Macaca fascicularis: one gene and its partners. The protein of the gene in region 5 interacts with the protein of the main gene of each other region in a biochemical or structural test. Links are inferred from orthologs where the notes say so. Each region holds a gene or a part of one and is shown on either strand. Other genes may lie near its edges.

Evidence for each region.
Region 1: the proteins of DLG1 (region 5) and FRMPD4 interact in a test that uses a peptide from one of them, tested with the Homo sapiens proteins (2 studies listed by IntAct, with this or other methods). The link is inferred for Macaca fascicularis from reciprocal best matches to the Homo sapiens genes DLG1 and FRMPD4.
Region 2: the proteins of DLG1 (region 5) and MTMR1 interact in a test that uses a peptide from one of them, tested with the Homo sapiens proteins (2 studies listed by IntAct, with this or other methods). The link is inferred for Macaca fascicularis from reciprocal best matches to the Homo sapiens genes DLG1 and MTMR1.
Region 3: the proteins of DLG1 (region 5) and KCNJ2 form a complex in vitro, tested with the Homo sapiens proteins (2 studies listed by BioGRID and IntAct, with this or other methods). The link is inferred for Macaca fascicularis from reciprocal best matches to the Homo sapiens genes DLG1 and KCNJ2.
Region 4: the proteins of DLG1 (region 5) and CRIPT form a complex in vitro, tested with the Homo sapiens proteins (3 studies listed by BioGRID and IntAct, with this or other methods). The link is inferred for Macaca fascicularis from reciprocal best matches to the Homo sapiens genes DLG1 and CRIPT.
Region 6: the proteins of DLG1 (region 5) and MAPK12 interact in a test that uses a peptide from one of them, tested with the Homo sapiens proteins (2 studies listed by IntAct, with this or other methods). The link is inferred for Macaca fascicularis from reciprocal best matches to the Homo sapiens genes DLG1 and MAPK12.
Region 7: the proteins of DLG1 (region 5) and ATP2B4 form a complex in vitro, tested with the Homo sapiens proteins (2 studies listed by BioGRID and IntAct, with this or other methods). The link is inferred for Macaca fascicularis from reciprocal best matches to the Homo sapiens genes DLG1 and ATP2B4.

Annotation. Positions count from the first base shown.
Region 1 is NC_088395.1:12,477,673-12,481,620, reverse strand, and holds part of FRMPD4 (FERM and PDZ domain-containing protein 4), read right to left. Parts: intron 2,752-3,948; coding exon 2,625-2,751; intron 257-2,624; coding exon 167-256; intron 1-166. UniProt on the Homo sapiens protein: Positive regulator of dendritic spine morphogenesis and density. Required for the maintenance of excitatory synaptic transmission. Binds phosphatidylinositol 4,5-bisphosphate.
Region 2 is NC_088395.1:156,756,985-156,761,393, reverse strand, and holds the start of MTMR1 (phosphatidylinositol-3-phosphate phosphatase MTMR1), read right to left. Parts: upstream 3,172-4,409; 5' UTR 3,039-3,171; coding exon 2,887-3,038; intron 1-2,886. UniProt on the Homo sapiens protein: Lipid phosphatase that specifically dephosphorylates the D-3 position of phosphatidylinositol 3-phosphate, generating phosphatidylinositol. Could also dephosphorylate phosphatidylinositol 3,5-bisphosphate to produce phosphatidylinositol 5-phosphate.
Region 3 is NC_088390.1:76,476,557-76,480,504, reverse strand, and holds part of KCNJ2 (inward rectifier potassium channel 2), read right to left. Parts: 5' UTR 3,912-3,948; coding exon 2,628-3,911; 3' UTR 1-2,627.
Region 4 is NC_088387.1:75,424,641-75,429,117, forward strand, and holds the start of CRIPT (cysteine-rich PDZ-binding protein), read right to left. Parts: upstream 3,120-4,477; 5' UTR 3,033-3,119; coding exon 3,017-3,032; intron 1,550-3,016; coding exon 1,484-1,549; intron 691-1,483; coding exon 636-690; intron 1-635. UniProt on the Homo sapiens protein: As a component of the minor spliceosome, involved in the splicing of U12-type introns in pre-mRNAs. Involved in the cytoskeletal anchoring of DLG4 in excitatory synapses.
Region 5 is NC_088376.1:2,497,450-2,501,397, reverse strand, and holds part of DLG1 (disks large homolog 1), read left to right. Parts: coding exon 1-70; intron 71-330; coding exon 331-503; intron 504-3,948. UniProt on the Homo sapiens protein: Essential multidomain scaffolding protein required for normal development. Recruits channels, receptors and signaling molecules to discrete plasma membrane domains in polarized cells.
Region 6 is NC_088384.1:1,294,771-1,299,372, reverse strand, and holds the start of MAPK12 (mitogen-activated protein kinase 12), read right to left. Parts: upstream 3,152-4,602; 5' UTR 2,984-3,151; coding exon 2,859-2,983; intron 2,780-2,858; coding exon 2,650-2,779; intron 1-2,649. UniProt on the Homo sapiens protein: Serine/threonine kinase which acts as an essential component of the MAP kinase signal transduction pathway.
Region 7 is NC_088375.1:61,453,482-61,458,200, reverse strand, and holds the start of ATP2B4 (plasma membrane calcium-transporting ATPase 4), read right to left. Parts: upstream 2,832-4,719; 5' UTR 2,408-2,831; intron 1,705-2,407; exon of another isoform or gene 1,560-1,704; intron 1-1,559. UniProt on the Homo sapiens protein: Calcium/calmodulin-regulated and magnesium-dependent enzyme that catalyzes the hydrolysis of ATP coupled with the transport of calcium out of the cell. By regulating sperm cell calcium homeostasis, may play a role in sperm motility.

The DNA of each region.
Region 1 (3,948 bases), on a different chromosome or scaffold from region 5:
TTAACAGTTCTTCTGATATTTTCAGACTGTTGTGAAGTTGGTTAGAAATGAAGGCTGGAGAAGATTCACAGCTGATTTGCTTTTGTCATCAGAGGTGGAATGAGCTGCTGTGGCTTCCAAGAGAAAGCAAAAACAAAACAAAACAAAACAAAAAGAAACAAATTACCACTAATGTTGCCTTGAACACACGGCCCCCATACAATCGCAGGTCACTGAGGAACTTGAGATAATGGACCTTGGCTTGTAGTGCAGAGAGCTGAGGAGAGAAAAGAAACCTCAGGTGTTAACTCTATTGGGTATGACTCCATTTCAGCTGGAGACCAGCAGAAAACAAGGCTAAGATAGAAGGATGATTTTACTGCTGAAAAGTTGAGATGTGACAAAGACTCTTCATTAGGAATAGAATTGCTACATATTTGGTTTCCTGATGAAGGACTGGAACATAAAATCAAGATTCACATCTTATTCATTAGAGGGTCAATGTATGGGGCACTCATGGGTATAGATATGCTGGGCCGGGCACTCAACAAGTGAGAACAAGACCATAAAATGTTCCATTGAACATCTGCTCGCTGGGAGATTTCAAGAAGTGAGAGGAGCCTTCTACTTGCAATTAGGGACAAAGGTGAGGTGTCCACATATATTCCCATTGCACAAGAGACTCACCTGAATGTAGACTTTGTGGGAATCATTTTGAATACGCACCTGCAATCTAGGCAAAGCCTTCTAAACAGGCCCTTTACACTTCCCCTCTCAAGTTTCTTCCAGTCCTTGCAAGTTTTCGGGGGAAATGAACTTTCTGAGATCCAATCATTGTGGACATGTTTGAACTTGCTATATAAGGCTCAGTTTTATTAATTCAACTTGGAAAATCTGTTGAGTTTCACGAATGATTTATAAATGAAATTTTATCCAGATGAAAGTTATCTTTACAAAGACTTAAAAAATGTAGGTTCCCATATCACTAAAAAGAGTATTTGATTTAAAAAAAAAAAAAAAGGTCAATGTTTCATACTGAATGTGCCAGGGATTTTTTATTAAGGTTGAAATTTTCCAACAAGGTGTAGATCACCATTAAGTGGCAATGACCATAAAATTCTATTTTCAATTGCAGATGACTTGCCAGCTTATTTGTTAACTATACCTGAAGGAACTGCTCTTTATATAATTGTTACTTAGCACCATTCATCCATCCTACTTCTTTAAAAAAAGCAAAGCATTTGCAAATTGTTTTGAAAGCAAACTATTCACTCTTGGCTAGAAAAACAACCTTTAAAGGACAGTGATGGATAAATGGATAGATTGATTGATCTTATAGCAGTTATCCAAATTATTATGAGTGGGCCAGGCTTGGAAGAAAAATCACAAGTCAATTAGAGAAATCAGCTTCCAGCAAATCAGAACTGAAGTTAAGAACTTGACCCGCATTGTTTTGCTACATCTCTGTAAGCTGAATGCTCAACTGTGATCAAAGACACCCTTCCCATGAAATTGGGAAGTGAGTTAAAGGTGGCTGATAGTGTGGTGAACCTGATTATACTTAAAAAACAAACAAACAAACAAAACAAACAAAAAAAACCGTCATGGGGTGTGGAGGGGATAGAAATAAATGTGCCTTACCCAGTAAAAATGACTTAAAAAAATCAGACACTAAGACAAAATAATTCTCCATGTAAACAGTGATTTGTATTAGAGTCACACAAATTTCTCCAGCTAATATCAATTGGAAAGTGTTCTTCAGTTAGAAGACTGCGTCCAATTTTATAGATCCAGTATTTTAAGGCTCCTTCTCTTTCTGGTTCCTAGAATCTTTTGCTTTTTATTACCTATAAACTATACCTCTCTTTTCTGACCAACAGTATATTTTAAAATTTCCTTTGTGTTTCTTTTACTTAATGAAAACAAAACAAAAGCATAAAAAGATTTTAACACTAATGATGGTGAATGACAGCAATAATTTTATCTTCCCTCTAAAGGTAGGTTTGAATCCAATGTTTGTCAATAGGGGTGATTTTGTTCCCTGGAGCCCATTTGGCAATGTCTGGAGACATTTTTGTTTGTCACGATCATGGGAGGGTGCTACCAGCATCTTGTGGGTAGAGACCAGGGATGCTGCTAAATATCCCACAATACACAGGATGTTCCCCGTAACTCCCTAACAAAGGATGATCTGTTCTCAAATGTCAATTATGCCACAGTTGAGGATCCCTGGTTTAATGAATGTGATCTCTGGCCTGCAGGGCCTCTTGCTGGCTGTTGTGCATTTAAGCTGGTCTGAGCAGTAAGCAATTGCATGATTGAAACATAGAATTATTTCACGATTCTATCTTCTATTCACAAGTTCTCAGAGGCTATGCAAACTTTTCCTGGATGGGCACATGAACACACACCTCCCCCCTACAGTACGGAGTCCATAACTTGTGAGAAATAAATAGGTTTCTGTATGAATACTTATTTTTCATTAGTGTTAGAAATATGTTAATAGTTAGAAAAAAGTTACACAGTGTTACTGCTTCTGAAAATATGGTACTAAGTATTTTATTCATGAGCTAATTTTAAACATTTAAAAAAATGCATTCAAGCCTCTCTCTTTATAATTTTCTATTAAGATGCAAATGTGATACCTTTTTACCCGGTGGTACCAAGTTCTGATTTGCTTTGACAAGGTGTGAAAGTGCTTTCTTTATGTTCTTCTCTTTCATGCTTTGCAGCACAGCAGAGGGAAGAAAAGTCTCTAATCCCCATTCTTTTCTGCAATAAAGAGCATATCTTTAATTTCACATTCTTGTGATGATGAGTTATCTAAGACAAAATGGTGCTCTGATGTTTGTTGGAACAAATGAACCCTTGGTAAGGCAGAGAATGGAGACAAGTCCCCAATTAAGGAAGTAACTTTTAGTTTGCACTCAGGACACACACTACTTGATCATTAATACGTATGTTTGCATTTAAAAAGAAATCTATTCCTCACTCTATAGAGACAATGCTAAGGAGGCATTTGGAGCCAATGTAAAGTGAAGAGACATTTTGTCCAACCAAATTCTGAATCTCTTCAAAGTCACTGACGTATCCGAGTTTGTATTTCCAACACCATTTTCTCTCCATCCCTTTGTTGATTTCTATTCTCCAGTCTCCCTGTCTGCTCACATTCTTTCTCTCTTCTCTTAGAAGAATGGATGCAAGTCCTTCATGTCCCCAAACCATTCTTCCCTGTCCCTCCCCTCCTCCATGGCTATTTCTCTAGGCACACACAATTCTTTTGTCCTAGCCAGTTCATGTCTAACTCCTTCCATCAACATTTCTTGCTGGTGGTGTGGAATTGGGTGTGATTCATGACTCTTAAGTGTGCCCGGTATTGATCTGGAGATGCTGGCATCATTCATGGGTATGGATGTACAACAAAATGACAACAAATGGGGCTGAGTTAATACATTTTTACAAAGAGCCAATTTCCCCAGAAATGATTACAACTCCTTTCTTAGAAGGTCCCATATTTTGAATTCTAGGAAATCTATCCTGGAATAGAAATCCTACCCTAGGTTATGTGTCTAACCAGTGTCTTCTAAATTATGTGAAGACCTTCAAGAGGATTCCAGTTACTTCTCCTGTTCCAGGTCCTCTCCAAAGAAGGGTAGGAAGACAACCTACCTCCACCACTTGACCATTCATATTCTTCACTAGTTAAGAATGGTATATTTCATGATTATGTTTTCTTCCTTCTCAACTTGTACTTATTGTCTTTAGCCATCATTTGGCACTACTTATGGGCTATCTTGTAATCCTACTTGTATCATTGTTTTAAATAATTACTTTTCTTGTCTTTTTATCTTGTTTTTACAATCAGAGCACAAGTTCCTCAATGGCCAGGAATAGAATTCATACATATTAGTATTTTCTACTGTCCTAATGTGAGTGCTATATAAAATGCTCAATGAATATTTGTTGGTC
Region 2 (4,409 bases), on a different chromosome or scaffold from region 5:
AGAAGCATCCTGGCCAATGTAGTTACGCACAGTGAAACATAGTGGGCTAGCAGACAGGAGGCCTGGACATGAGTCCTGCTTCTGTCACCAGCTAACTCCATGATCTTTGGCAAGACACATCCTCTTACAGGACCACAGCTTCCTCATTATTAATTACAGTATTCAGAGCAGAAGTGAAGGCTCCATAGTCCAAGGGACATGGCCAAGTCCCACCCATAGAGCCAGGTTCCATTCTAGAGGTCACTCTTCAAAGAAAACTGTGAATCTGAGCTTGTTGAGATGACAGAACTGAGAAAGGAGGCCATGATTCCTCCCCCACCCCTTCTCTGTAGTCTGTGCAATTGCCCTCTATACTCCTGGTGCCAGTAACTACTTACAGGCTGGAGGCTCCCAGCTCTGTTTCTCCAAACTAGACTCTCCTGATCTCAATGCTGATGTTCCTACAAGACACGTCCACTAGTTTGGCCCAGAGACCCTGCTAATTCAACCTGTCTAAACCAGCATCAGCCGCTCAGCCCCACAACCTACTCCGCTCCTGTGTTTCCTAACTCAGGGTGCAGCACAGCCAGTTACCCTTCCCCCACATGCTAGAAAGCTGAGGTTTGTCTTGAAGCCCACCCAGCATTCCCCCCTCACATCTGAATGGTCACCATGTCGGGTCACTCTTACCTGGTAAGTATCTTGAAAATCCACCCAGCCCTATTCCTAGTCCAACTCTCCTTTCCAGACCCTCATCAATTCTTCTGTGAACTCCACGTGCCTCATGTATTTAAGCCTCACCTATAAGCCCATGACTCCCCACTTTGAATCTCCAGCTCAGACAACCCCGAACTCCAGGCTCAGATAGAACAACTATATCTTTGACATCTATTCTGGGACATATAATTGGCATCTCAAAATTAATATGTCCAGAGCGAAGAGCCTGCTATTTTCTAACCCTGCTCCATCTTAGAGAGACTTCTCCATCTCAGCAACACAATTTTCCCACAAGCTAAAGTTCTGGAACTCTCCCAGATTCTTCTCTCATACCAAACAACCACTCTTCAGCAAACCCCATTGGCTCTACCCTGCAGGCCTTCAAATTACATCTAGAATCTGACCACTTCTCCCCTCCTCCGCTCCACTCTGGCCTGAGCCACCATCTCACTTGGCTTACTACGATAGCCTCCTACTGCCAGTCTCCGCTTCAACTCCTTCCCCTTTCACTCTATTGTCCACATAGCACCATGGAGAGCCTACTGAAATCTACAACAGATTATGTCACTCCTCTGCACAAAGTCCCCAATGACTCCCCATGGTCTCTGAGGCTCTCCACCATCTGGCTCTGTGACTTCTCTAACGTCATCCCTTACTTGTCTCTAGCTCCTTCCTTGCTAGTGACACCTAGTCTCCTTGCTGATCTAGGAACACTTGGCTCACACTCACCTCAAGGGCTTTGCACAGGCCTCTGAATAGAATACTATCACTGACCCCAGGTATCTGTATGGCTGGATCCCTCGCCTCTTAGGGGGCATTACTCAAATGTCACCTTTCTCAGGCTTTCCCTGATCATCAAAATCTCTGAAGGAAACCAGAAGATGAGGCATATTTGGGGGTGACACATTCTGGTCTCCTTTGGCTCCTTAAATGATTCTGATGCATGCCCATCCTGAGTACTTCTGTGTTCGCCTCTACCACCTATCTCATTTATCACATTCGATTTCCACTGTTGGTTGGTTTGTATTCTCCACTAGATGGTAAGCCTAGCAAAATGGTAAGACAGCAAAAGCCGTGTTGTGCTATTCTCTGAATCGCCCAGACCTCGTGTATGGTTGAATATTTGCAGATGTGTGGAGTCCTCACCATTTCAAGTGTTGTCTTAGCTGTGACTGGTTTTCAGTGACACTAACCACTTGGGTAATTTATTAAAATATATTGTAATTACACTGAGGTAGAAACAAAGGTGAAGGGAATGTTTCTTGTTTCTGCGCTTTTGGAAACTCCCAAAAGTTTGGCACAATGGTATGACCAGGACAGGCAAGAATGGGCATGTAAAACTGACTCAGTTACATTACAGCAGTGCATGCTGCCTGAGTGCACTCTGGTGTCAGAGACATGGCCAAGTTGTGGGAAAACTGGATGTTCCGGGTTACAGGATAGGCCATCCCTTGTCGTCGGAGGATGGGGTGGCCCCTCCCAGCTAGACACGGTCACTTTATGTTTCTGATTTCTCTTAGTTCTGCAGCTGCCTCAGTAGCAGTAGGCTTGCCTGTGTGTTCATGAAAACAATAAACTGGTTCCCTCAAAGTGTGAAGAACTGAAAGTAAACCGTTCTGTTTTCTTGCTTCCTGAGCAGTTTGGACGTTTTCCATCTCGGATTTTTGCCTCGATCTGCACCAGCTCCCACGCCCGCGGGGTCCCATCTCCCCGTCCCTACTCCCAATCCCCCATCAAAGACCCCAAGCAGCCACAGCGGAATTGGGGTCTTAAAACCACACGAAGCAAGGTGATGCTAAAAGAGGAGAGCCCGGCTGGGATCTCCCTCCCAAGAGGATTGGTGACCTGGGCAGGGACAGCCAAGCGGTCGCCAAGGGCAGCAGGTGGCGGCGCGGGAAGTGGTTTGACAGCTGCGAAGCCCCTCCCGGGGATCCAGGAGCTGGGGCTCTCGGGGCGGAAGTGAGCCAGGTGCGCGGCCCGCAGCAGGTCCGAGGGCGGCAGCCCCCGGATGGGGCGCTGAGGTTTCCGGGGGTTTGGGGGAGGAGAGGCCGGAGGGGATGGATGAAGAGGGGCAGCCCACCCCGCCTCGGCCAGGCCCTGCGCGGCGCCCGGGGAGGGGGCGGGCAGGCCTCGCGCGGGGCACTCGGGAGCGGGGCGCGAGAGGCCGGGGCGGCCCGGGGCCCCGCTTACCTGTCCAGGGTCTCCACGCTGGGCTGCCGGGAGCCGGCGGCGGCGCCCCCCGCGGCCCGAGGAGGCCTCCTGCCGCCCGCCGGCCCCGGGTTCGGGCCCCCGCCGCCCTCGCAGCCCGCCGCCGCCACTGCCGCCGCCGCCGGCCTGTCCATGGCGCGCCGAGTCCTGCCGCCTTGGGGAAGCCGCCGTCGGGACAGGAGCGGCGGCCGGGAAGGTTTCGCCGCTGGCCTCCTGCCGCCTGCTCTACCGCCCGCCCGCCTCAGGCGGCCGCCGCCATTAGCTGTCACCTGGCGGCCCCGCGTTACCCACAAGGCCGCGCGCGCGGGGGTCGGGGGGCGGGAGCGGGGGCGGGGAGGGCGGTGCGCGAGGTCGGCGCCGGGAACCCCCACCTCGCCCAGCCCCACCTGGGCGCTCGCCCGCGAAGCCTTGGAGCGGGGGTCTGGGACCTCCTGTTCCAGCGACCTGGGTGCGTACAGAGCCACTGGGGTTCGGAATCCCCAAACGGATTATGCGTAGCGTGCTTCGCTCTGTAGTTACACCGGGTTGACTGCAGAGACGTGGGGTGTAAAAAGAAGTTTGAAGACATTCAGGTATTAAAAATGATTCCCCCCCTCAGTTGTCCTTCCCAGAAAAGGTATAGGACAGCTCAAGCTCCTTCGGTCTTGACATCTTGAAGCACGAGCAATTCCGTGCATTATAGCAATTCCTCCCCACCCCATTCTTCCCTCCATTCTCCCGCGCCCTCCCCCCCACCCCGCCGCCACAAACCCACCTCCTTGCCATCTGTAGGGCAACCAAGTGTTCTGATGCCGCCCTCGGAGCTTCCGCCCATGGTTTATGTTAAGACCAACATTTAACTTCTGTTGATTAAAAATCACTGCTATGAAAATCAAGCCAATATCTTGGTGAGGCGTTTAGGACATTGGCTTTCTGGGCTAGATTTATTTCCTTGCTCATTTTGTGTGGGTTCGAATATCCAACAGCTCATCCCCTCTCACCTCACCCCGATTAAGTTGGAAATGGGTGTGTGGCTCATGATTAAGCCTCTTTGCCTGTGATTGCTCTGGGTGTAGACAGGAGTCCTATGACCCAGGTCTGGCAAAGGAGATATAAAGGGAACAATTCGCTCACTGTTAAAAGGCAGACCTGCAGACAGGGAGTTACTCATGCCCATCCCAGACCCATCCTGCCCTACCAGCTTAATAACTTCAAACTGAACTTTGAGGATATGATGCCTGAAGCCCCAACAGCCATCTTACTCACAAGAGGAGGTGAGCCTGGGTTAAGAAGATGACAGAGTGAGGAGGGCTAGGAGGAAGGAAAGGAAGATCCCCAGACAATAATACCTCCTATCTCCCACTGGAGAATCACCTACTGCAGGTTGCTGGCTTTCTAAAATTATTAAATCAAACGGTTAGCCCACTGTTACGGACTGAATGTTTTCATCCCCCTGAAGTCCATATGTTGAAGCCCTAACTCCCTGTGTGATGGTGTTTGGAGATGGGGTCTTTGAGAGGCAATTA
Region 3 (3,948 bases), on a different chromosome or scaffold from region 5:
CGTAGCATATAGGTACTAGCTCTCAGACATTGCTGCACTGACATTATACTTTCTATGGCAATTATTTTTCTTTACAGACCTCTATTTACATTTGGCTTTAAATATGAAAATATCTGATAAACTTTATAAAATGTACACTTTAAAAACATAGCTTCTGCAAAATTTTCTTGAAAAAACAAACCTGTGCACCAGAAATTTTATATTTTTTTCTCTTTTTCAGAAATAAGTTGAAAGATTTCCCTCCCTCTTTCTTGCCCCCCCCCACACCCACCCCCTTTCAAATTTCTCAAGTCTTTTTAAGTGGCAGCACTCTGTGTTTAGGGGGAGCCTCTTTTGTGGCCACCCCCATTCTCCACTGTATCTTCATTTAATTTACATATCACTGAATACTCTTTGGTTTGATTATTTTCCTTTGCAAAACATCATAATAGCAGCAGCTGAAGCCCTCAATATCCTCTCACTGTCAAGAACCAAATTGTTGCCTCTTCTGTAAGTTTTCTTGTCCACTCAATCCCCAATTCCTCCAACTCTTTAAACACCTTCCCAAACCTGCCTTAACATTTGGATCTAAAACAACCACTTGCTTAACATCTCTTTCTCGGTTTCATTGAAAATAACACCTCAGTTTTCAAAGCCATCAAATCTGAAGGCTGAAAACAGCAAAAATTGTCATAGTTTTGCAGGCACGGCATTCAGATATGGCTGTTCAAGAACCAGAGACCATCACAAACATCAATTTACAAAATATGTGATTCTAGAACAAGCTGTTTTTTAATGGCATACAGAGATATAATACCATAAGAGAGTTGATTTTGAGACTCCAATTAAAAAGAAAAGTCAGTAACCCCAGAATTCACAAATAGGGAATTTTAAATTAAAAACAAAACAAAACAAAAAAAAAAACCAAAAAAAGAGTTCCATTATTGAGCTACAGTGAGAAAAAAAAAAAAAAATGTGTCTAGCAAGGCAGTCAGCCAGGCAGGGGAGGCTTCTGGAAAACAATGTGTCCTTCCTTAGTAACCTGCTCTAGGGCTCCACAGGAGACAATGCTTAGCTCACATTCAATCATAAGTATGCACACAGAAAAGGGAAATAGCCTTTTTAGACCATTATCTCCTTTACTTGTCATTATGTTGTATTTTTATGACTCTCTTTGACCCTAAAATACTGAGACATTTTCATTACTCTCCTCTGCCATAAAAAAGGCAAGTTTCCTCTTCCTCCTAAATACTTGATCTGAAGTGCTGCATCAGATTGGTTTGTCCACACCTCCCCGTTTCCCCGCTTTGGCATTCACCGCCCTATCTGACACTGTAGGACTCACTCCAGACAGACTGATCAGAGGAACAAGCGTGGAGGCCAGGTGTGGCATCTCCTCTAAGGTGAAGGTGGGCTGGCGATGTCCTGACAGTCCAGGCAATAAATTCAGCAGCAAGGGTTTACACCCATTTATCTTTCATGCTGGATGGCTCAGTTTTGAGAATGCCAGGATGCCAAGGAGGTCCTATGAAGATCTTATGAAATGAATTTTGGAATGTGCAAAAGGGAAGGCCCAGAAACATGTAAGAGTACATCACCATCTCGCACACTACACATGAGCCTGGCCAGCACTGCCTAGCAGGAAAGGATGGATGTTGGTATTGTGTGTATGTGAATTTTACTGCCCCTTTCTTCTTCTTCCTCTTAAAATAAAAAAAGTTACATGAAAGGACAAAATTTTAAAAAGCACTACACTGACTAGACTCGGTGAGTATGATGCTCTATTTTCTGAATAAGGTGCAAAATGAACCGGCGGTTCAAGGTCTTGCTGAGGTTCAAAGTTATTGTCTCTTGATTTCAAGGCAGCCCATGGGGCTTTGTTTTCTTTTAAGTGTAAGCTCCACTGTGCAAAAATATGCATTATCTTTGGTATTTATTTTAGGTAGTTTAACTTAAAATTTGAGATAACCCATTAACATCATGGAGGAAAAAAAAAACAACAACAACCCAGAGGCTACCATTTGGCTAGTGTTACATAATGCCCTTATGTAACAAAGAGAGAGAGAAAAAAAAATCAATTCTAGCAAACAAATTACTGGCCTCAAAAAATCAGGCTCTTGTTTTGGCAGTTGATAGCCAAATACTTGCCACTTTGAAGCGCATCATGAGCTTTCAATCAAGTTCAACACTGACTTTAAAATTACACAGAAGGAAAACTACACTGCAACAAAAATACACATTTGTGTTCATGTAGTTAGCAGCTTTTCAAAAATTAAGGCAGAGTCTTGCCTTTGTTATGCCATTAAAAACATCCTTGTTCCCTAAAGAGAAGCATTCTGGATAAATCAAATACCCAACCAAGGCTTGCCTGCAAGTTCAAGTTTTGGAAAAACACAAAACAAAACATAAAAACCCATAACTTATTCTACAACATCTATGTGCCATTGGGTCACAATGGAGGCATGGTTAGTGCTTTATGCTAATCATGGAGCTTACAGTCTTTCTTTGAAACCATTGTGCTTGCCTCAGTCCCTTGTGGCCGCTTGCTTGACCCATCTTGACCAGTACCGTCATCTGTATAACTGTTTTGGGCCTCTGACCAACAGACCGTGTTGTAAAGTAACTATTCCAGAGGAGGAATCAGTCAGTCATATCTCCGACTCTCGCCGTAAGGGCCTGGGCTCTAGAGGTACACTTGCCTGGTTGTGAAGGTCTATGTCAGGGGGCGTGTCCGTACTAGTGCTTTCTGGAACTCCGTTTTCACTGTCATCTTCCTCTTTGCTTGTGAGGGCAACTTCATTTTCATAGCAAAATGAATTCGCATTTGAGAGGATGTATTTCTTTTCTGCTAAGTCTCTTGCACTGCAAAGGGGAGTGTTGGGGACTTCGTAAGTTTTGTGGAACCTGGAATAGTCCACTTTGTAGTAGTGCTTCTCTTCAAAGAGCACAGGCTCATAGCGGTGGCCCCACAGGATTTCATTTGCTAGATAAGAGCTACGGCACTGTGTCGTCATGGCAGTGGCTTCCACCATGCCTTCCAGTATGACCACGATTTCAAAGTCTGCATTGTCAATGTCCTGTTTACTCAAATCATATAAAGGACTGTCTTCGTCTATTTCATGGACTATAGTGATTGGGGACACCAGAAATATACGATCGATTCCACTGTCAAACCCAACATTGATGTCTATTTGATCCAGAGGGATATACTCCCCTTCAGAAGTGATTCTGGATTTGAGGAGCTGTGCTCGGACATGAGCTTCCACCAAGTGGCTTTTCCGAAGATTGCCCACTCGCCACATCAAACACAGCTTGCCATCTCTCATGGCAATCACAGCATTGTGACTGAAGACGAGAGTCTCGTTTCTCTTCTTTGGCTTTGCCATCTTGGCCATGACTGCACCAATGATGAAAGCATCAATGATGCAGCCCACGATTGACTGGAACACCACCATGAAAACAGCAATTGGGCATTCATCCGTGACACACCTGAAACCATAGCCTATGGTTGTCTGGGTCTCAATGGAGAAGAGGAAGGCAGCCGTGAAGCTGTTGACTTCGGACACACAAGCTTTGCCCTCTTTGGATGCATCCAGGTCCCCATGGAGCAGAGCTATCAACCAAAACACACAGCCAAAAAACAGCCATGACAGGACGAAAGCCAGGCAGAAGATAACCAGCATCCACCGCCAGCGAATGTCCACACATGTGGTGAAGATGTCTGCGAGGTACCGTTGCCCCTTCTCACCCACATTGATGAACTGAACGTTACAGTGACCATCTTTCTTCACAAAGCGGCTCCTGCACTGTTGTCGGGTGTGGACTTTACTCTTCCCGTTCCCAAAGCCATTTGCAACTGCCATGGTGGCCAACTTCATACCGTCTTCTTCTGAAGAGACAATGCTGTAGCGGTTGGTTCGCACACTGCCCATCGCTTCTGCTGGGGACTCCAGTGCCTCTGCTTTGGAA
Region 4 (4,477 bases), on a different chromosome or scaffold from region 5:
ACCCACCTGATTTTTCCATTTTTTGTAAGGACAGGGTTTCACCATGTTGCCCAGGCTGGTCTCAAACTCCTGGGCTCAGGTAATCTTTCTGCCTTGGCTTCCCAAAGTGCTGAGATTACAAGTGTGAGTCACCATACCCAGCAGAATTTTTAAGACTGGATCTAATAAAGTATGGTATCAAAAACTTGTTTTTAAGATGGGAGACATTTTTACCCCAATTCTCAGGAAAAAGTAAAGTTTAGAAAGGTCAAGAAACTTGCTTAACTTGCTTAAGGTCATAAGGCTAGACAGTGGGTCTAGACTCAAATTCAGGTTTGACTCCAAAGCTTACCATCTTTCCACATTTCCCTGCTGTCTCTGATTCATAGGATAATTAAGAAGGAGATAAAATACAAGTCATGTTTTCTGGTGAAACTGTAAGAGAATAACACTAATATCTTCATATATTGATACAGCCAAGGAGGAATAAGGTAAAACCAGCAGGATTGTAACAGATAGCTTGGTTCTGAGTGCTATGAACCACCTACCTTTATGTTTTATTGCAAATGGAATGATGCACATCAAATTCACTCCAGCAGACTTAATACTAAAAGAAAGGAAATTTATATGATCTGTCTATGGATGCTCTTACCCACCTTGCTTTTTTTGAAGTCAAAGCTTTATTTTCATTCAGCTTTCTCCCACCACTTTCTGTATCAGAATAAAAGATATTTTAGTGGGTTATTTCTATACATTTAACATAAAACATTAAGAAGTTCATTCTTTGACTTTCTACCAAAATAGTAGTCTGTATCTAATTTTTAAATCCTCATTTAGTAGGCTATTAAGACACTGCTTAAAAAGAAAACATTTATTAGGGAAACAGTAAAAATTTGTATAAAATACAATCATTTTATTTCTCAGACTCAAGGGAGTACTTTAGGAATGGGTCTATATTTACTCTATATAGTGTAAAATCTAGAAGCCACTACTTCAGTGTCATAGACCTTCAATATAATGAAAATGTTTATTTGTCTACGCTTTGAAAACATACTTTACTATATGTATTTAATAATAATGAAGGTAAATACTTCATTATAAAGATTTAATGATAATGAAGGTAAAATGGGTTAAAGCATTTATTTATTCAAGAATATAAAAATCAGAAGATTTAAAAAAATTTCTCCTCAGAAGAGTGGGGAAATTAAAAACAGACTCTAAATAAGCTGAATCAAATCAAATATTGTGATAATCAAATACTGTGATATTGTCACCACTTGACAATCATTTAATAATTTTGCTATCTCCTGATATTGGGAACCCATACAAGTAACTGAGAACTAAATAAAAGATATTAAATCACTTGGGGACCCAGTATTCTTTAATATTTAATAGATAAAATACTTTGAACATACAACATTTCATTGTACAAATAATGTAAAAGCTAAAATATAATTCACAGTAAGTATTTGGTTAAATTCCTATTTTCTAAAAGAAGAAATACCTGTGGTATTCCTAGCACCATCTTTCCATGTATCTGGAGTGATAACAGTACCAAGTTTCTTTTCACCTGTTAGAACAAGATAGTAAAAGGAAAATTAAAATTTACTATTTCATAAGTGCATTACATTGTGCCTAAGGCTCACAATGGTATCGACTATCAATGCTATTACCATAGGAGCCTGTTAATGCTGAGAAAGCAGCCAGTCAACTGAGACTCATATTAACTGTGGGCAATGAATGACTGACCGTCGGTAAAATTCGCAGGATAATAAGATGGCTTATAATAAGCTTTCACTGTTTGTTTATACTTTTAAAAAATCCAATAAGTCTATTTGTTCCATAAATATTTACTAAGCATCTATGATGTATAAACTATAGAAAGTGCTGAGAAAAAGTGATGAATCAGACAAAATTTTAATGAGATTATAGTATACTAATTTCTTTAACAGCAATCTGTAACCTGGGTTCCCCAGGTGGATCTTAAGAGATATGTGAACAAGGTGGAGTTGTACACAAACCTTTTATATTTTCAGTTTTTTTTCCTGGCAAGAGGCTACAGTTTTCATCAGATTCTCAGAGGGATCACAGACCGTCTCCCCAAAAAGAACCATTCAACCAAAATGTAAGCTAAAAAATAAAAGATATAATAATTGAGAACTAAAGTACTAGGAGAAATTCCAGGCAGGAAAAAATAACCCTGGCTAAGGAAATCCAAGAAAACAAAGTTTGGAGAGAAGGCAAGAGAGAGGATTTGAATATGTGGCAACAGGACTGTGAACAAAAAGGAGTAAAGAGGATGAACGCAAACTAGATAAAGGACACATTCTGAGGAAAGGCATAGAAAGCTTAGAGTACACATGGGCACAAAGAGTATTTTGTTTGGTCAAAGTGTGAAGAGGATGAGGGTCAGTGAAAATGAAGCTGGAAAAATAAGTTAGCGCCTTAGTGTGGAGGGTACTGAACGTCAGGTTCCAAATATAGAATCCCCAAATTATTCTCTGCACACTGAGAGTTTATTAAAGGATTTAAATTAGGGAAATAATAATTTGCACTTACGTTGATGTTCAATTCAAACATCTCTGGGTTTACTCTACGCCATATCCTGGCATAATGACTAATGAGAATGAATAAGGCAAAGTCCTAAGTCTTTGGTTCCAGTGTCTAACATTTGGCAGGAGTACAATACTTGTTACACGAATAAAAAGGAAAGGACAGGAATTGCCAAGAGGGAAAGGTGTCGCTGGGGTTTAACTGAACATTTTTATATGGGAGGGGAGCCGATGAGATCTGGGGCTGGGGGAAGGCAATGGAAATAGAGAGGGAGGTGCAGAACTGAGACCATTCTGAGTACAAAATACATAGGACTGTATGGTCGTTGGGGAGGTGCAAAAATGGTCAAAGGGTAGGGTAGAAAGACAGCGGCTAGAATCAGAGACCTGTGGGCGAAAAAAACAAAGAGAAGGCAAAGTTCCCGGGAGGGCTCAGTTAGATTATCCCAGCCTCCTCCTCCCGCAGAAGCAGCCCCTTAACTCACATTTTTCGCACACCATCCTTCCCCACGACAGTTCCCCTAGCCGCAACAGGAGCAGCAGGAGCCTGAAAACATCAACACTGTAACTGGGAAGTATTCCCCTTCCGGGCTACGTCAATCCACTTCCGGCTTCTAAGCCCACCGCTCCCGCCTACCCCAAACCTGGAAAGCCGCGGGAGGAATGAACGCGAGCGGCTAGGTGGGGCTGCCCCATTTGCCCGCCCCTCCCTTTCTGCGACTGGCTGTTCGGCCGTGGGTGTCCGCCCCACAACCCTGCGTCTGCGCGTGGGCCTGGGCCTCCTGTCGTACCTGATGGTGGGAGGCAGTAGTTCCCCGCTTCCCTTCCGCGGGCGGGAAAGTTAGGTAAGCCTCGCTGGACTTCCCAGGCGCTCTCGCCTCCCGGGGTGCAAGTCACCCCCGCGAATTGCCGAAGCAGCCCTGAGCCTCGGCGCCCCGGCCCGCCAGCTCTCGCCGTCAGCTCGAGCGCCACTCTTCCGGCGTGCCCTGATGGACAGACCCCCTTTCGGATCCGAGTTTTTGCCTCTGTCCCCCAGTTTTTCTTTGTCTCCAACTCCCGAGCTCTTTGATCCTGCTTCTCAGCTGGTTCCTCGCTGCCCACGCTCGCGCCGGCCTAGGGTCGGGCAGAATTCCCAGCGACCAGGGTTGGGGTGGAGCTGCCGGTGGAGGTGCGGCGATGCCCGTGAAGGCTCCTCTGGGGGCCGCTCTGAAGAGCCTTCTCTCCGCTGCGGTGCCTGGGGAAGGTGGGCCGCGTCATGCCCGTGGCACCCCTGCAGGCGCCCTGGGGGCACGCCAGGGCCTAACACGGTGCTGGTTTCCCAGGAGAGTTGGTTTCCCACTTTGCCTACTCTGGTTCCTTCATTCACTCAGCAAACGGTTGAGTTTGGTAACTGCTCACTGTATTACATCCACATCTGATGGCAGCTGCGATTCCGAGGGTGGCTCAGAAAAATGGCTGAAGGGCTATCTGTTGAGAGAATGGATTCCTGATCCCCTTGCCCTCCCTCAATCAGCTTAAGAGAATCTATGGGAAAGTTTACCATTGTCCCTTCTTGCCATCCGTTTGCTTCTTCATGCCTAGTGTATTTCCTTATACCAGAGAGAGAGCTGTAGCGCGTGGGACCTTGGACCACCTCACCTGTTTGCCTTGTTTCCTTATCAGTAAAATATCTGCCTTTGAAAAGCACTGGGTGAATTAAATGAGAGCTATTAGGATAAGGCCCAGGTTCGCCCTTCTGCTTTTCACACTAGCGGGCGCCCCTCCGCGCGCGCGCGCGCCCACGTGTGTGTGTGTGTGTGTGTGTGTGTGTGTGTGTGTAGTATTTTTTTCTGAGATATTTCTATTTTCTGGAATATTCTCCATAGTGTAACATATTGACTGTTACTTTAAATTAATAAAGTCCTTGTTTAACAGTACAATTAACTCTCAGGTAATTTAAATACGTG
Region 5 (3,948 bases):
CCCATGAAAGACCGGATCAATGACGACTTGATCTCAGAATTTCCCGACAAATTTGGATCCTGTGTCCCTCGTGAGTAAACCAGACAAAAACATTTCATTGTTACTCTTAACAATGCCTGTCACTGTGTGTGGGAAAAATAGGTAGAACCATTTTTTAACGGTTTGTACCTATTTTATCAGTTACTCTTCCATCCTCCATATTGTTGTCCTTTCTCAGATTTAAATTAATCTGTTGAACTTTACAAAACAATGATATAAGTAGAAAATGGATTTATTGTGGGTTTTTTTTTTTTAATATTAAACACTTCCCCAAGTTTTTTTCTGTTAAAGATACAACTAGACCAAAACGAGATTATGAGGTAGACGGAAGAGATTATCATTTTGTGACTTCAAGAGAGCAGATGGAAAAAGATATCCAGGAACATAAATTCATTGAAGCTGGCCAGTATAACAATCATCTATATGGAACAAGTGTTCAATCTGTGCGAGAAGTAGCAGAAAAGGTAAGCATCAGACTAGTCCCAGAATATAGCTGCTAATCAGATATGCCTTTGACAGTATGAAAGAGTGGTAGGATAGATACAGCATTAATTAGTTTTATTAACGTAATGAATTTGCTTACCTACATGATTAATTTTTGGTGGCTCAGGAAAGTGCATACAAGATAAAACAGGTAAATAAGGTAGACAAAGAAAGTGAAAATAGGAATGGTAACATGAATGTAAGAGGAGAAGTTATTTTAAGGTCATTTGCTAGAGATAGACCTTTGTTTAACCCTAACCCTCCAGCATATATTATAAGGAGATAAGGGCCAGGTATGGCAGCACACCCTTATAGTCCTAGCTACTAAGAAGGCTGAGTTGAGAGGATCACTTAAGCCTGGGAATTTGAGGCTGCAGCGAGCTATGATCATGCCACTGAACTCCAGCCTGGGCAACAGAACAAGACCCTGGCTCTTAAAAAAAAAAAAAGAAAAGAAAAGAAAAAATCAATAAATCTAACCACTTAAAATTTTTAAAAACTTTTTTTATGGCCAAAGAACTTTTCCAAAAACTATTAGAAAACACCATTAACAATGTCAAAAGACAACTGACAGAAAAAATTTGCAAGAAGAAAAGGGCTAATATTCCCAATATATAAAGAACTCATAAAAACAGGGAATAGAGACCAGAAACCCAATAGGGAAAAAAAAAATGGACAAAAGATGAGAATACATAGTTCACACAAAAATAAGATATAAAAATGGCCTTTGTACATAGGATATGATATCCAACCATTTCAAATGAATAACTACATTGAAGAGGGGAGAAGGGAGAAGTCTTAATCCCAGAGATTCTTTAACACAAGCTGAAGACAGAAAGATCTGTAAACAAAATAAAATTCTAATCAGTAGGTTTGTTGGGTGGAGTGTATGGTCTTACAGTTCTGAAACTAATATATATTCTAGGGTTGAGCAAATAAACTAATGTAATGACAGTAGTGGGAGTGAGGTTTGACTGTCAGAAAAAGGGAGAGGATAAAATGAACTCTGATAATTGGATTGGAGATATTAGATAATTAGAGCTATGAATATGAACCCATGAATTGTAATAGAGTAGATCTAGAAAGATGTGTATTTACATATACACACACGTATGCTTATTTGCTCTATCCACTAAGAAGACCTAAAAATAACCCTGAATAAGCCATGAGAATATCTGGTGCCCAGGTCTTGGCTTCTAAATATAATTCGTTAATTGAAAGATTCAGGACTCCTTAGAGAAATGGCTGATTCTGGGGCCAGGACTGGAAAAGTGCAAGATGAGCCTGTAACATTTTTGCTGCCAGAAAAACAAGGGAGCAGTCCACGAGTGATGAGGGTGTGTAAAAAGGCAAGGAACCAAGCTGTGGGGTCCCCCACTGGCCAAGTCTGAGATAATTTGAATATCAAGATAAATGATAATCACAGATTATAATATATAGAGTAAAATTAAAATCCTAGACTCCATAATGAAATAAACACAGATGGCCCCCAACTTAGAATGGTTCAGCTTTACAGAGGCGCAAAAGTGATGCATATTCAGTAGCAGCCATACTTCAAGTACCCATACGGCCTTTCTGTTTTTCACTTGTAGTACAGGACTCAATGAATTACATGAAAAATGCAACACTTAATTATAAAACAGGTATGTTGGATGATTTTGTCTGACTGTAGAGTAAGTGTTCTGAGCACATTTAAGGTAATCTAGGCTAAGCTATGATGTTTAGTAGGGTAGGTATATTAAACGCATTTTCAATTTATAGTATTTTCAACTTGGGTTTATTGGGACGTAACTCCCATCATAAGTCAAGGAGCATCTGTATATGAGTAAATAAGTGGATAGAAGGGAACACTTTGGACTGTCTACTAATCAAGGTAGAAGAAATGATTAGAAAATATTGAAAACTGCATGGTAATAATTGTTTCAGGCAAAAACCATCAGTGTATTCTAAAATTAGTGAACATTTGATGAAAAATGGGATATCTATATAGTCTCAAAGTGTCCTCCCCCAAAATACTTATCAGTTACAAAGGCAAAAGTAATAATTTTACAGTGGAGAAACCTAGCAGATAAAACCTTAAACAAGTGATCAAAATTAGCATCACTACCAGTGGGACAAATAGATATAATATCACCTCCCAGATATGATGGACTGAGAAGGACACACATTATATCTGTGGTATTCCTGCCAAAAATGTGTAACCTGCCATCCGAGAGTGAGGAAACACACAAACCCAGGTTGAGGCATATTCTATGACATAATATTTTATACTCTTCAAAAACATCAAGATCAAGAAAGACCAAGACTGAGGAATTGTGTCAGATTGATGGAGACTAAGGAGGCTTTACAGCTAACCACAGTGTGTGATCCTATGATCCTGAATTGGATCCTGGACCAGGAAATTTTTTTTTTCTTTTCCAATAAGGAACATTAGATGGCCACTTGGAATCATATTGTGATTATATAAGAGATGCCATTGTTTTTAAGAAATATGAGGTAAAGGAGCATTATGCAGTTTTTTCTCAAACTATTATGTACATACATAGAAAGAGCTAAAGCAAACATAGAATATTAATATTTCAGTATCAAGTTACTAAAATGTTTAAGCGATAATGTAAAATATTTATATCTGATAAAAGATAATGGATACATAGTGTCTGTTATTTACTTTTCTATATGTTTGGAGTATTTTACAGTATTAAATTTGTTATTTTAAGTGTGCCCACCAAATTGAAATTATCATGTATTGACTTGGACTCAAGTCCTTGGGTTAGAAGTTGCATTATGGGGCCAAGTGTGGTGGCTCACACCTATAATCCGAGCACTTTGGGAGGCCGAGGTGGGTGGATCACTTGAGGTCGCAAATTTGAGACCAGCCTGACCAACATGGTGAAACCCCATCTGTACAAAAAACACAAAAATTAGCTGGGTGTGGTGGCGCACACCTGTTATTCCAGCTACTGGGGAGGCTGAAGCAGGAGAATTACTCGAACCCAAGAAGCGGAAGTTGGAATAAGCCGAGATCGTGCCACTGCACTCAAGTCTGGGTGACAGAACAAGACTTCGTCTCAAAAACAAACAAAAAACTGAAGTTGCGTTATGGGGGAGGGCCTGATTTCAAATGCATTAGAAGCAAATCTGTCATAAATAATAACTACTACTCTGCTTACCATGGAAATGCCCATCTGTATTAAAAACCTAAGTATCCTTTGTCAGTGAGTTTAAGCCTGTCAGAAAAGTTGTCATTTAAATCCAGAATTGGGTCCCATATGCTAGTTTATGAGTTTTTGTCTGTCCCTAGTAAAATGAGAAATAGAAGGATTGAGTAGTGGTAATGAGGTTTCACACATTTGTTTATTTAAAAGGTTTGCCCTTACTCTAGGATTTTTTATCTTTTATGAAATGATAGCTATGGGGAGATGGTAG
Region 6 (4,602 bases), on a different chromosome or scaffold from region 5:
GGGGAGATGGACAGTGGACAGGTCATGTGATAACTGCTGCCTCAGCATTTTGGGGTGACAGGGTCCCAGGGAGGCCCGGAGAAGTTCTGCACAGCCAAGGATGGAGGGACAGGTAGACATGTGGGCTGCAGGACACCCGGCAGAGGGCACATGCAGAGTGGCCAAGGCAAGAGGGAGAACACTTGGGAGAGTTTGAGGAACACAGGGAGGGAGGCCAGGTGGCCAAGGCCCAGGCCAGGGAGGGGCTGAGGAGAGGCCAGAGGGAGCCGGCAGGGCAGCACACACCAGGTGAAAGTTTGGCTTTGATCCCAAGAGAAAGGGAAGGATTTAAACGGGTGTGATGCTAAACGCGTCCTGCTGGCCGTGGTGTAGGGACTGGCCAGAGTGAAGCAAGAATGGACCTAAACTGGAAGGACAGCTCTGCCAGAGCCGTGGGCAAGAATGTGGAGGGAGGAGGAGAAGGAACAGAGGCCCGTCCAGGGAGGCCTGGGAGCAGTGGGGTCTGTGGACACGACAGCTGGAGGGTGCCCAGGAGAGCGCTTTGGCAGAAGATGGAAAGCAGTGTCCTGTGGGCTAGGGGCCATAGGACTTGACTTGGCCTCTGTGGTGTGGGGGCTGGCCTGGAGAGGGAGGTGGCATGGGGATGGCAGGACTGGGGCCTGTGGCAGAGCCTCCTCCCCCGCTGAGCAAGGCATGTGGCCTCACAGAGCTTCAGTCTTCCAGGAAGATGGGGTTCCAGGGAAGGAGCCTCAGCTGCAGGCCGGGAGCCCAGGGGGTGGACCCCCAGGCACAGCGGGGACCCCAGGACAGCAGGGCGGTGGCTAAAGAAAAGCCCAGCGCGGTGGGTCACGGCTGCACTCCCAGCAATTTGGGAGGCGAAGGCAGGCGGATCACGAGGTCAGGAGTTCAAGACCAGCCTGGCCAACATAGTGAAACTCCGTCTCTACTAAAAATACAAAAAGTTAGCCGGGTGTGGTGGTGGGTGCCTAGAGTCACAGCTACTAGAGAGGCTGAGGCAGGAGAATTGTGTGAACCCAGGAGGTGGAGGTCGCAGATCGCGCCATTGCACTCCAGCCTAGGCGACAGAGGGAGACCCCATCTCAAAAAAGAGAAGCCCCAGTGGACGGGCGCGGTGGTTCAGGCCTGTAATCTCAGCACTTTGGGAGGCCGAGGCAGGCGGATCACTTGAGGTCAGGGGTTTGAGACCAGTCTGCCCAAAATAATGAAACACCGTCTCTACTAAAAATACAAAGCATTAGCCAGGCATGGTGGCATGGACCTGTAATCCCAGCTACTCAGGAGGCTGAGGCAGGAGAATCACTTGAACCCAGGAGGCAAAGATTGTGGTGAGCCGAGATCATGCCATTGCACTCCAGCCTGGGCAACAAGAGCGAAACTCCATCTCAAAAGAAAAAAAAAAAAAGAAGAAAGAAAAGCCCCAGAGCGCTTGGCTGGATGGGGCAAGGCCCAAGCAGGTGAGTGAGTGGGTGGGTGGGGGCAGGGGGCCGAGGGGAAGGCTACAGTCCTGGGGCAAGGTCTTGGTGTGACGGGCGGGATGGGGGAGTGCAGTGGTGGCAAGGTGGGGGCAGGGCCGGGTGTGACGGGGGTGTCGAGGTGGGGGCAAGGTTGGTGTCCACTGCAAACAGATTTCACAGGGCCCGGGGTGGTGAGCTGGGGTCAGGGTGGGCTATGGGAAGCCTCAGAGAAAAGGACCCACCCAAGGGGCTGAGAGAGTGGCGGTGGCCAGGAACCAGGGGGCAGGTGGTTTGCTGGTGGACGCAGGGACTCATTCTCCCAGGGCACCGGTGGCTCGGATGACCCAGGAGGGTCCAGAGCATCTCACACTGGAGCTAGGGTCCGGGTGCCCAGACCACCTGCCTTCAGGCTGGGCCCAGACCAGGGGCAGGGCAGGAGTGACATGGGGGGCAGTGGACAAGTGGGACTGTGTCCAGAAACCAGAGGGCCCCTGGCAGAGAAGTCAGGCTCTTCGCAGCCAGCCACGCCGTGGGAGAGGCCCAGGGCAGCTGTGCATGGCATCTCACAGGCAGGACTGGAAAGGATGGGCCCCCACAACGAAAGGGAGGGTGTCTGTGAGATGACCACCACGCCCAGTGCCCCCCAAACAGCAGCTCCCTGAACCCTTCACTCACCCCCAGGGTTCACCATACTCCCTACGTTCTGGCGCCCCCCTCCTCCCCCTCCACCGGGTCGGAAGACTAGGGAGATGGACAGCAACAAAGTGGGCTCCACAGAGGGGCTGGAGAGGGGCCCGGATGGGAAAGAGAAGGTGCCCCTTCCAGGAAAATCCTCCTGCCGGGAGCATCCTCTCACCGCGGGCTTCCTGGCTGGGGGCAGGGTTTGGCGTGAGACCTGGAGGATCCCCTGGGCCTGGCCAAGTCGTGTCCCCTGACCAGGGCCTGGCTGAGACGCCAAGTCAAGGGGCTCTTTCCCGGGCCTGGCAGAGGAGGGGGAATGGCCCTTGGGGGAGTCGTCTCCTTGCTCTCCTTCTCCCCTGGGGGCCCACGGCCCGACCCCCGCCCCGCCCCACAGCAGGTTGCCTGGGGAAGGAGTTGCCGGGTGGAGGGACCCAGCCCAGCCGAACCCAGCCGAGGCCGGGGCGCCTTCCCGGAGCGGGGTCGCGCGACTCACGTTCTCGTGGCGCATGTGCTTGAGCAGGCGCAGCTCGCGGTAGGCGCGCTTGGCGAACAGCTCCGACTGGAAGGGCCGGTACAGCTTCTTGATGGCCACCTTAGCGCCGGTGCGGCTGTCCACGGCCGAGCTGCGGGGCGGACCGCTTAGCGGGAAGGCCGGGCACCCCGCGCAGGCCCCGCCCGCCCCGCCGGCCGCCCCGCGCTCACCACACCGCGCCATAGGCGCCCGAGCCCACGGGCTGCAGGTCCCGGTACACGGCGCGCACCTCCCAGGCCGTCTTAGTCACCTCCTGGCGGTAAAAGCCACTGCGGGCAGGCGGCGGAGAGCTCATGGCAGGCCCGGGAGCCGCCCACCCCGCAGAGCCCGCGGGCGGTGCCCCAGGACCGGGGACCTGGGATCGGCGGGGCTTCCTCGGCGTGCGCCCCGGGCCGACTCTGCGCTGCTCGCCCGCCCGCCGCTGGGACGCTCCTGTTCCCGGCCCTTCCCTCGGGGATGTCCCAGGTGCCGACCCTGGCCCGACCCCGACCCAGGCAGCGCACGGCCCCTCCCCCGCCCGGGGACCAACCGGCCCGCGGGCGGCGCGCACGTGACGCCCTCGCCCGCCCTCCGGCCCCTCCGGAAACCCGAGGCGGCCGCCGCCGGGGGAGGGCCGGAGCCTGGGGGGAAGCGCAGGGGGAGGGGAGCGCCGCCCCGCAGCTTTGTCCCGACCTAGGGCCGGACGCGGCGCGGAGATACCCCCGTCAGCCTCTCCCCTTTGGCTGAACTGCCCCGCTCTGGGGGTGGAGCCGGGAGAGTGGGGAGCTCCTGCGGAGACCCTGGGCTCCAGTCCTGACTGCCCATGGTTCCAGGGCGCAGGGCCCATCCTTGACAGCCTGAGCGCTGACTTCTATCGGCAGTCCCAAGTTGGGCTGAGCCCTGTGTACCTAGAGTCAACTTCCCACGCCACCCCCAAGGATGCCCTACCTCTGCGCCTGATCCATCCATCCCCGAATGGGGGGTCCATCTGCACCTGTCTTGCCTGTATCCCTCTTTCTACACGGAGGGGTCTGTCTCCCAAAATCCTCAGGCTGCATCCCCAACCCCACCCCTGTGGCCACTGACCCCGGGCCTCTCAGTCCCATAGGTACCCGAGGGCCCTTTTGGACACCCAACTCCTCCCCCTGCTCCCCCCATCTGCGGGGTGACTGCTGCAAGTGTTGCAAGTGCTGGTGCCCCTGCCCGTCCCATCCCTGCCTGTCCTGTCCTGCAAAACCCAGGCTGAGGGTGGCTGCACTGTCTCCAGCAGGGATGGGGACCTGCTGGGGCCCTCAGCCTGACCCCTCTGTGTGGGCGTTATCCTCCCATATGTCTGGCCCCATCCTAGACCAGATGCTCTGGTGGGCCAAGCCCCACCCTGACACCCCCTCCACAGTCCAGAAACCTGGGTCTGAGGAGGGATGTGGGTGCACCCCGGGAGCCCACTGGGCTGGTGGGTAACAGGATCGCTAGGGCCCTCTGCCCCGCCCTCCGGCCATGAATCAGCAGCTCAGCCGCTCAAGGGCGGGAGGAGCTTTACACCTGGGCTTTGGGCTGTGTTCCGTGGCATTCATCAGCTCGTGCCCAGTGAGCAGGGGCAGCCCGGGGCTGCCCAAACCACAGCTGCCTGTGGCCTGCACCCTTTGTGCCCTGGGCTGCCTGTGGCACTCCATCTACCTCTTTCAGGAAGCCCAGCTGCCACTGCTGTCCCCCTTAACTCCCCGTGGTGGAGCTCAGGGGTCCAGAAGGCCCCGCACAGACCAGGCTTCTGAGGTGGGGCTGTGTCCCCATTCTGCTCCCACCCCCAACCGCCAACACTGGACTTCCCCCAGGACTGACCACTACACTGATGAGGCCCCAGGAGGGCCCCCAACTCCCAGACAGTTTCCACCCCTACCCAAGACCCAAGCAAGGGCACAGACTGTCCCTGGCCCC
Region 7 (4,719 bases), on a different chromosome or scaffold from region 5:
GGTCGCAGAGGCCGCGGAAAGCAGAGGGGCCGCGGGGTTGCGCAGTCGATCCCGCCCCGAGCCCCGGGGGAAGGGCTGAGACTGCGGGAGCCGATTCCCCGCTTTGGCAGCGACCCCAGGCTCAAAGCCGCGGGAGCAGGCAACCCGGTGCGCGCTAAATAACGACCTCACGGAGAAACAGTCCCTGAGCCCGTCAACATCTACCCCTAATCAGATTACTGAAAATAGGAAGGCCGGCTGCAGGAATAGTGACACTCTGGGCCCCCACGACGGGAGGCCGCGGCGGAAGCGGCGTGATTTTCGGGGTTGCACCTCAGCAAGATGGTGGCAGGGAGGATGGGACTCCCGAGGAGGAGCAAAGAAATGGATCCCCTCCCTCCAGAACACCGGCATTGATTCTCTGTCTTGGGGCCCCTGCCCACTGGGGAAGGCCTCATTCCCTTACCGACCAGAATACAGGTAGGGAAGAGTCTAGCCAATGGGGTGCAGTCAGATCAATTAACACCTCAAAATGAAAATCGGTTCCTGTTGCTTCCTCAGCCCCGAGATGAGCTCTCCTCTAAGTGTTTTGCTTCCTTCTCCCCCAGTTTCTCAGCTGTAGCCTTTACCACTCCTCCAAGCCCTGGGGCTGAAGGCAGGTGTTTCCTCTCCCCCAGCCTGATTCCCACAGATCTGTCTGCTTCAGGGTTTAGGGCCCACCTTCCAGAACACGGCTTACCAAGCTGCCACCATCCTTCCTGCCCCTCCCGGAGTCTGCTCCCCAAGCCACCACCCTCAGCCAAGGAGGGTAACTCAGCTCATGGGCTAGGAGGCCTCTTTCCGTCCCCTTCTTCCTAAACGCTCCTGGCCCAGCCCCTCCTCACCCCCAGGCTCCTTTCCTGGGCCTGGCCCAGCCTGGAATAAGCTTGGTCTCCTTCCTCCAGGTAGAGGGCCCAGAGTGAAGGGGGCACAGGAGGGCCTCCAATGAGAAGCCCTGGAGAAAGGGCAGCTTGGGGAGGGGCTTAAGGAGCAGGGCGAGGGTCTCTAGACTCCCTGCCAGACTCCTCACCCAGAGGAGGGAGCACTACAGAATGGGATTTTGTTTCCCTTCCCTCCCCAACTCCTTTCCCCTCCCCACAGGGGCCTCAGTTGAATGCCGGCCTATTGCTTCATCTGACATTCCCCCTGCCCGGCCAGCAGGCGCCGGCATCATGTCTGCAAGTTATTGTAAGTCCGGCAGGAATGCCCAGGAGGGAGGTGCCTCTGGCCAGCAGAGTGCCCACTCCCCTCCCAAGATGTGGCTGGCCACTCCTGCACCCTCCACACCCAGTTGGAGAAGAGCGGCGGGTACCCTCAGGGAGGTGGAGGAGTGTATGAGGCCAGACGTGACTCGGGGAAGGATGCCAGCAGCCCCCTCTACCAAGAGCGAACCAAGTACGTAAGAGAAAGAGAGAAAGGAGAGCAGGAAGGACAATCCCATTCTTAATTCCTAGCTCTTCAGCAAACCAAGGAAATGACCCAAGATGCTCAGGGACCCTTCCACAGATGCCTGTGGCCCACCCCGTCTGCCAAACACTCACCAGCCCCACAGTCTCCAGCCTTGAAATCGGAAACTTTTCAATTCACCCTTCTCCTTCCTCCCCTTTGGGACCAGAGATGTGTGGGGCGGTGCCCTCGGAGACACTCATACAGTTGGTTCTGGACGCTCACACACTCTCAAACAACAGCGGTACGAGGGAACTCCCAGCTTTTTCCACAGCTAATTATAGATGTGAAAGTCTGAGGATGTTTTGCAAGCAACACAGAGAAACTGCTTAGGTTTCTCTGCAAAGCTAAAGAAATTTAATTTGTGCACTCTCCTTCCCCCACTCCTCCCAACTTCTCCCAGCCCACCTCTACCCCATGGCCCCAAAGTGCCCCTCTCCTAGTTCCCGCTGCAGCCCCCCTTTCCTGCCGAAGATTTCTTTAGTTCCTTTTTTTTTTTTTTTCCCATCTCTCTTTTGGGCTTTTGAGAAAGGGAACAGACACGGAAAATATTTTTGCAACAGTTTTCCATCCTGCGTCTCATTCCCAAGCCAAGGGGGAAGGGGAGGGCAGGAATGGAATGGGTTGAGGGAGGGGAGATAAATGTTTTTTCCAAGAGTTCAATTTTGGTGTCAAAAAGAGAGTCCCTCCATTCCCCTACCCCATAGCACAGGAATGACAAGAACTAAAAAAAGAGAGATAAATCACTTATTTGACTATACAGTTTCTCAGAAAACAGTATTTGACAAATCTGTGCACACACACATATTTTTAAAAATCCTCCAAACCCAGTCGCATGAAATATGCTAGAAAGAGGAAAATCGGGGAGTTTTAGAAGCCACTGAGAGAAAAGAAAGAAACAAAGTTTGCAAATCACAAGTCAATTCATTCTCTGCAAGCCTACCTCTCTTTCTAGCAAAGATCCAGGTTTCTCCAAGTGGGACTCTCCCTCCGGGTTTCCATGGATGGGGGTAGGGTGGAGTGACCACCCACCAGTCTCCCCAGTGTGGCAACCAAGCTGGAGACGCTGGCTTTGCTCTCTTGCCTTTCCGGCTAAGGCCGGGGAGTGGGCTGGGTCTCCTCCCCCTGCCCTTCCAATGGGAAGGACCTCTCAGGTTCCTGAAAGAAAAAGGGTGCAGGAGAGCTGGACGGGTGTCTCTGATCTTGCTCTCTTCAGAGGGATGGTTGCCCAGGAAGTTCGTGCCCCCCTCCCAGCCCCCAGCGTTGGACAATCTCAACAGCAGAGCTTTCTTAAGAAAATGCTTGTCATGGCAACAGCTCTAGCTAACTCGGGCCAGACTCCTGCTCACCAGCTCTCCCCAAGCAGTGCGGGAAGAGAGAGGGGAGGAGCAGGAGCTGGAACAGAGGTGGGACTTGGCATGAGGCCAAACCATTACTCTACTGTTAAGGTGGCCCGATTCCTGCGGTTGCTTCCTGGTTCGTCTTAAGGGGGAATGGGGAAAGAAAGGGAAGGAATCCTCTCCCCTGTCGGCTTTCTTCTCCACCCTTGCTCTCACTTGTTGAATAGAAAGCTGAGTGGGGTGGAGGAGGGGTGAGGGTGGAGGTGGGGAGTGGATGTGGGTGGCGGTATTCAACGGTTGCTGGGCGGAGGGGAAAAAAAAGGAAGCTTCGGCAGGCGGTTGGCTTCCTGCAGCTCCCATGGGCCTCTCAACCCCTTACTCACTTAGATCCAGGACCCAGAAACCCAAGGTGTCTGTGGACACTTGTATGTCCCCTCCCACCTTCCTGCTCCTGTCTGAATAGGGGGTTCCTTGGAGAAGGAGAATAAATTGTTTTGTAAACACACACACACACACACACACACACACACACACACACACACACCTCCTCCCCGACACCTTATATACAGGTCACATTTTGTTCCCTCTTGCCCCTGTACCCACCAGAGGTATACTGACAGTGCATGAAAATAGCTGCCTACTTTTGAGTCCTGCTATGCGTAGGCTATGACACCAAAAGCTTTGTCTATACGATATCATTTCTAGTCCTTATGGCAATTTTGAAAGGTACTTGTTATTAGCCTCATTTCCTAGCTGAGGAAATTGAAGATTGAGTGTCTGGCCCAAGGTTATACATCTGGTTCATGACAGAGCCAACAATTCAAGGCCAAGTCAGACGGACTCCAAAGCCCAAGTACTTTCCTGTACTTGTATCATACTCTGGCACACATTTCTGTTTTAATTTGGACACACTCAGACATCCCTGCACACTTATACACAGCCTGTAAACTGTTAATCACACCCCCATACCCACACACCCACTAGCATTGTGCAACAGTGCCACCCATAGATTTTGCATAGAACTTTATGGCTTTCAAGCACAAACATGCACCATCAGCTAGTTCACACAACAACATATCTTCATTGACTGACAGATTCCCACACCTACCTCAGCAAACACACTCATGTTTATATGCTTGTGGAAGGCGTGTTGACATATATCTCACAGGTTATAGCTATGAGCTATGCTGTGAAGAAGGTGACTGGCCACTACTTCCCAACCTTTTAAACAGAGGGTTGGGAAAAGGCCTCTTTGATCCTATCATTCTAACCCAACACCTCACACCACCCCTGTCCTTCTTTGCTGTCATCCCTGCCCCCAAGAAGCAGAGCCACACGCACATGGAGAAACAGAGTTGTGAATTAGACCCAGGGGTTCAGTTTCCCCTGTGTCCAATTAGCACCCTTCCCAATGTTCTCTCATTTGGGTCCTCTTTTTCCTCTTCATTTTCTTACCCTGCTATTTCTTTTTTCTTTTTTTTTGAGATGGAGTCTTGCTGTGTGGCCCAGGCTGGAGTGCAGTGGCGTGATCTCGGCTCACTGCAACCTCCGCCTCCCGGGTTCACGCCATTCTCCTGCCTCAGCCTCCCGAGTAGCTGGGACTACAGGCGCCTGCCTCCACGCCTGGCTAATTTTGTTTTTGTATTTTTAGTAGAGACGGGGTTTCACCGTGTTAGCCAGGATGGTCTCGATCTCCTGACCTCGTGATCTGCCCGCCTCGGCCTCCCAAAGTGCTGGGATTACAGGCGTGAGCCACTGCACCCAGCCAGTAATGTTTTTAGACTGGTTGGGCTGGGCTCAGAACTCAGAGTTCCTCAATGTGAGGCTGGAGATTGCCTGCTATCATCTGAAAACACAATCCAAAATAACCCTGGCTAGGGTCAGTGGCTTATCCGTGTAATTCCAGTACTTTGGG